Linked DNA regions of Canis lupus familiaris. The protein of the gene in region 2 purifies or fractionates together with the protein of the main gene of each other region. This does not show direct contact. Links are inferred from orthologs where the notes say so. Each region holds a gene or a part of one and is shown on either strand. Other genes may lie near its edges.

Region 1 (2,665 bases), on a different chromosome or scaffold from region 2:
TGTAAGTTTGAAAATTTCCATGTTGACTTCTTAAAATACCATTCCTATTAAAAAAAGACCAATCAACCTAGTAGAGAATTTGAGAAAGGATATGGAAATAATTCACAGAAAAAGAAATACAAATGGCACACATATTTGGGAAGAATGCTTAACTTCTTTCAATATACAAGAAATATAAAATAAAAACTACAGGGACACCTGGGTGGCTCAGCCATTGAGCATCTGCCTTTGGCTCAGGGTGTGATCCTGGAGACCTGTGATCAAGTCCCACATCGGGCGCCCTGCATGGAGCCTGCTTCTCTCTCGGCCTATATGTCTGCCTTGCTCTGTGTGTCTCTCATGAATAAATAAATAAAATTTAAAAAATAAAATAAAATAAAAACTACACTAAGATACCATTTTCCACCCAGACTGGCAAAGATCATTTGATAATGACCTGATAATATACTCTGTATATTACTGATTACTGTATTATACTGATAACATACTATGTTGTCCACAGTGTGGAAGGAAAGGCATACAGTTCCAATAGAAGGCAACTAGAAAAAAAAAAAAAAGAAGGCAACTAGAAATTTATATCAAAATGAGAAATGCGCTTTGACCTGGTAATGCCTTGGGAAGTTTATCCTATAGATATCCTCAGGGAATACATGCAAAATAAAGTATGTGTGTGTGCATGATTAGTCACTGTAGCATTGTTTGTAATAGCAAAAAGCCTGGAACAATCTATATATTTATCAATACAGGCTGATTCTATAAATTATGGTACACCCATACAATGGAATATAAGGAAGCTACAAAAAAGTATGAAGATTTACTCTGGGATGATAAAAAAGTCTTGGAGAAGAACAGTGCTAATATCTACACAATAATGCAGATATACTTCATGCCACTGGGCTGTATACCTGAGCTTAAAATGGTAAATTTTACATTATGTACATTTTACTACAATTAGAAAAAGAGGAAACTCTATGTATTTTTAAATATATTTTTAATTAGAAAAAGAGGAAACTCTATGTATTTTTAAATATATTTTTAATGTAATCTCCACCCCCAACGTGAGGCACAAACTTAGGACCCTGAGATCAAGAATCACATGCTCTACCGACTGAGCCAGCCAAGCATAGGAAAGACAATATATATACTATTTACACGTAAACATCTGAGTTAAAATAGGAAATTGTGCATGTCAGTGTTCGTATCCATAAAATCACTGTTTATAATAACAATGCTGATCAGTCACCTGTCGGAAAGGAACTAGATAGATGACAGGCAGCAAGGGTCGGATATTTCACTGCTGGGCTTTTTTTACTCTATGAATTTTCTTTTTTGTGTTTTTAAAGATTTTATTTATTCTACAGAGTGAGAGAGAGCACAAGCAGGGGGAGTGTCAGGCTCCCCACTGAGCAGAGAGACGGACACAGGGCTCCATTCCAGGACCTTAAGATCATGACCTAAGTTGAACGCAGACGCTTAACCGACTGAGCCACCCAGGTGCCCCTTACTTTGTGAATCTTCAATGCTATAAATTTGAATCCCCATGTTCCCAGTGGGAGCCCTCAACCCAGGGCACAGTAGCATGCAGACTGTAAACTACGTAGGCCCTTCCCACCTAGAAGTGTTGCTTACCAGCCAGAAGCAATGTGTGGGTGTTCTTGTTATCTGGCACTTTGTCTGACCTCTCACAAGGATGCATTCCCAGGAATTTCACGATATTGCCCACAGCCTCTATAGGGAGAAATCCCAGCATCATTAAGCCACATCTCATTTCTACCTTTGTGTCACCACCACTCCCCCATCCTCTAAGCCTGCTCTAAGTTGCGCTTTTAAAAATTTTATTTAGTAATCTCTACACTCAATGTGGGGCTCAAACTCATGACCCTGTGATCAAGAGTCACATGCTGTTCTATTGAGCCAGCCAGGCCCTCTCTAAGGGCCTTTTCATGAAGTGCCATCTGAAGTATATACTCTCAACATGGCCCTGGGTTCCTGGGGGGCCAAGGCCAGGAGGAGTGAAAGGGGAGGACACATTTCAATAGCCAAGGATTTTACCTTCAAGTGTCTTGATAGTAGACAAGGTGAATGTTTCCTCTTTCTCAAACTCATCCCCTACCTCATCCCAGGCTGCTTCAAAGTTCAGTTTCATGACCTTTTGGATATGATCAGCAACAGTGATTTCCAGATCTTCCAGCTGTGGAGATGGAGGTGGAAGTTAGGCATACACCTCCAGGGGAATGGGTTCCTGTTCTGCACACCTGTGGGGCCTCTGCTCTGCACTCACTGCTTATCCCTTTCTTCAACGCATTGGGCAAGTGCTCACTAGACACAGAGCACTGTGCTTGGCTCTGGGGACATACAGTAACTGGACTTTCCTTCAGGTGCTCACAGCCAAGTGGTGTCCTTTCAATAGAAATGCCCTGACCCAAGTGCTCACCTTAGGATGTCAGCTGCAAGGTCACGTCCCTTTGGAAGCCTGCCTAGAGTCAGTGCCTTAAGGATCCAAAGGTCTGCCTTCTACGGCTCGGACACTTATGACTCATCAGATCCCACCCTCTGCCTCAGAATCTCTGAGCCTGACAGATTCTGGACCCCTAGCCTCCATCTCAGCTGTGTCCTCTCTGAACCTGACACATATTAACCCCCAACCTTGGACTGAGAGAGCACA
Region 2 (3,825 bases):
TTGGTTTTTGAATTATGGACCTATTCCTACAGGTATACAAATTTATAAATACATATATTATAAAAACACATTGGGATACACTAAGCTTTGATAATAAAGTGTGAGGTTTAAAAAAGTCACTATGGAGGGCAAGGTTACTGAATATTTTGTGTTTTATTTCATAATATGGTCAACTAATGATGAGATGATTTGGTTTGCACTAACTGCTAGACTTTGAGAAGTATATGGTATTTTTATGCTTTACAACTGGACTCAATTCTAGAAGTACCTGACATCCTCAACCCCCTTTATTCTTGCCATGGACAGGTCAGAATTACCCAATTTGGGTAAAACTATTGGCCATTTGGGTACTACAGGAACAGCACAATAGCTTCCTGCTGTGGTAAAATAAAATGGCTCAGCCAGGGAGAGGCCAGGCTTTTGAGAAAGGTGTTTAACATTTCTCTCAGTCCAAGCCTCCTTAAACAGCACATTTTGCTTATTTCGACCAAATGTGTCAAGAGCATCCCTTGCTGAAGGTGGACACCACCACGGTAGCACTGTCCTTCCTAGGACTACCCCTACTAGCCAGGGCTAGGCCAGGTGCCTGTCCGTTCTCTCTCCAGGGTTCATTCTTCCTCTGTAAACCACCCTCATAGTCACTGCAGAAACCAGTGCTTTAAATTACTATGCCCACCACTCTTAGACCTTGGATTAATACTTACTTGCCCTGTAAAAAGTAGCTCATGAATGCCACGTTATTCTTGCCATCTCTCTCTGCACCCTCTGCTAGTTTGTTCACCATACTAGCATTTCCAGAGGCAGTGGCCAAGAGCAACAGGCCTCCATAATCCTGTGCATGGTGCAGGCACTCCTGGGCAAGGCCAAACTGACATTTACTAATGGCAAGTTCGGCAAGTTGTTTCCACTTTTGTTCTGACTGTAAAAAAAGAGTTTCCAAGTTAAAACATCTATGGAAATAAACATTTGAATTTTCAACATAACAGTCTTCTGTTAACCTATTACTGGGCTGCCAATGGGAGATATTTCATACATATACTGAGCTGTGCTTATTAAGCTGGTTCTATCAATCAAAGTAAGAATGGAATGACAAAATGTATAATGAGAAAATGGAAGTTATTCGCATATACAAAATGAATTCAAACAAATCAATTTTAATGATGCATGAATAATCATCAACCCATTATAATTTTGTAATTACACAGTAAAACTAAAAGTAATACTATCTAATTGGAGTTTTAAGGTAATTAGATTGCAGTTATTTTAATGAGTGATTTAGTACCATTTCTGGAAAGTCTAGAGCATTGTTTTTTATATTCTTAAATATTTAACAATGATGTTATCTGTTATTTGTAGCTTCTCAAAAATCAAAATGCTACACATTTGGATGATCTCAATGTAGTTGAAATTTATTTAGCACATCTGAAATGAATTTACCAATAAATGCTAGACTTAAACCACAATTGGGGGCCCTTAATACATAGCAGTTCATTAAAATCATTAAATTGTGTCAAAATATTAAAATCTTTAAAACCAACAACTTTCTCACTAGTTTGGGATAATGGCAAATTACTGCTTTGTCTGTCTGTACTCTAAGTTCCCAGACTACAATATCTAATATCTTACATCTTCTTTTACAAAACAGATCTCCTATAAGCTACTGAAAACACTTTTTCTTAAACAAATTCACAATGCTAAAAATAGATCTCCAATAAAATTCATTCATGTAAAGACTAACAAAATGCATTTTTTAAGTGAACAAATAGAGGCAATCATCCAAAGAGATTTACTAATTTGCATTTCAGAAAAATTTAACAAGAGAACTTAAACTAAACACAAAGAAGTAGCTACTAACCTTTGAATCAATTACAGAAAATCATGACTTAGTACATACCTCTGCTTCTACTGCTAATTGGTATGCGATTTTCAGTTCTCCAAGCTGTAGAGCAAGTTCAAAGCGATGCTCCGGATCTGTGGATACTGTAAGAGCTTGCTGCTTGAAGCCCTAAACAGAGAACATATGTAACTGTGTGTGCAGTCTATATGTGTATACCACACACAGCAAGTCAGCCATTTAGCTCTCTCTTGAACTAAGGCTACCTTGCTAACACACAAACCCCACTGCCTAAACATAATAAATAATACTCTTTAATGAGAAGACAGAAAAACGAAGGAATCATTAAATTAATTGCTAAGAACAAACCAGCAGACAAAATGCAGTCCCGCAATGCTATTTTCTAAGCACTGGAAGGTGACTGATGCTGAACAAACTCATGTAAAACTAGTAAATTAAAAATGCAAAAGCAAGCAAATGTCAAAAAGACAAAGATTCTGGAAAGCTGAGTGAACAAAGAGAGGCTCAGTGGTGTAGACCTAGCTGTTCACAACCTACTCACTAAGCTGGGCTCAGAGATCATGTAATCCAGTCCCTCAAAGAAAAGCAGTTAAATGTAAAAGCTTCCTTCCAATTTTTCCTAATCTGTGGGTCATTTAGCAAACGTTTTGCTTGCAGGTCCTGACACTGATAGGGTATGGTTACAGGACTTGACTGCTGGTCTTATGTCTACTTGATTCATCAAAGGGCAGGAAATCTAAAACTGTCTTCCATATTCCACAGAGTCATCAAAACAGGCTTTTAAACCAACTACTGTAATTATCAAATTAGCTTCTCCCCTAAGACAAGGAGTACTGATGGGAGTATGCACTGTGGGCAAGTTCATCAGCTCTATGGATGTGGTGCATTAGACCAAGCTGAGACTTCAAGAGACTCCCCTGGAATGAGGAAGAATGCTCGGTTATGGGGTGGCCAAGAGGGAGTTGCTGGACAGCTATCCAAGTTCTGTCCAGCTGGATCTCCAGGAAGGCTGTATCATTATGTTTAAAATGTTTTAACTTCCCAGACTACACAAACTGCCCCCTCTCCCTCTCTCTCTGTGTCTTTCACGTATAAATAAATAAAATCTTTAAAAAAAAACAAAAAAAAACAAAAAAACACCCAAAAAGAAAACCAGCAAACAACAAAAAAAAATCCCTCTTACTTGCTTTTCCAGAAAGTGTGCAACTCTGGTCCTCTGTTCTTTTGGAATGGTAGGAAGAACCTTATCAGCCATGCTAAAGTCCCTTCTCATGACAGCTGTCTGGTATTCCAGCACGGAAACCAGCAGAGAATAGCTAACAATGTTCAGTTCTTTATCACCCAGATAAAGCCTGTTGTCTTTAGGAATATAGCCCAGGAGATACATTGTCCTGTAACAGACACAGAAACTAATTAGGAGTAGGCCCAAATCAGTAGAATGATACACACACACACACACACACACACGCACACACACACACAACCTGCCTCTTGCTCAGAATCTTTTCACTTCGACTGATGCAATTTTGATAAACAAGAGCCAACCTACTAAAACTGCTACACACTGAAAAATCAAGCCTATCACTGCTACAAACCAGCAATAGATTTTGTTTAAAAAACATAATTCTGGATTTAGAATGCTTGACACAAAAGTAAAACAATATTCAGTTACCTGTCCAAGTGGGCAATGGTGACTATTTCTCCTCCAACATAATAATTTAATCTGTTCACAGAACTTGTGTAAATGAAGCAATCGCCTACCCACAGCCCTGTTTTCACAATTTCCTGAATCTCACCAAGAACCTGCAGAGAGAAAAATAGTCTATTATTACCTTATTGAGAATTAGAAGTCCTGTCAATCATAAAAACTGAGTATGACTGGGGTGATAAGGTACAGTAAGGACGCAAAGTAAAATCCTACTTCAAGAAAGAAAATATTTTCTTGGAATTTCTATCTTCTTTCTCCATTT

Evidence for each region. Proteins that work in one complex are often made in the same cells at the same time.
Region 1: the proteins of COPB2 (region 2) and COPG1 purify together in Homo sapiens (co-immunoprecipitation; 8 studies listed by BioGRID and IntAct, counting the BioPlex papers as one, with this or other methods). This does not show direct contact. The link is inferred for Canis lupus familiaris from reciprocal best matches to the Homo sapiens genes COPB2 and COPG1.

Annotation. Positions count from the first base shown.
Region 1 is NC_049241.1:2,861,746-2,864,410, forward strand, and holds part of COPG1 (coatomer subunit gamma-1), read right to left. Parts: intron 2,192-2,665; coding exon 2,053-2,191; intron 1,729-2,052; coding exon 1,630-1,728; intron 1-1,629. UniProt on the Homo sapiens protein: The coatomer is a cytosolic protein complex that binds to dilysine motifs and reversibly associates with Golgi non-clathrin-coated vesicles, which further mediate biosynthetic protein transport from the ER, via the Golgi up to the trans Golgi network.
Region 2 is NC_049244.1:36,073,179-36,077,003, forward strand, and holds part of COPB2 (coatomer subunit beta'), read right to left. Parts: intron 3,659-3,825; coding exon 3,528-3,658; intron 3,247-3,527; coding exon 3,039-3,246; intron 2,006-3,038; coding exon 1,895-2,005; intron 920-1,894; coding exon 705-919; intron 1-704. UniProt on the Homo sapiens protein: The coatomer is a cytosolic protein complex that binds to dilysine motifs and reversibly associates with Golgi non-clathrin-coated vesicles, which further mediate biosynthetic protein transport from the ER, via the Golgi up to the trans Golgi network.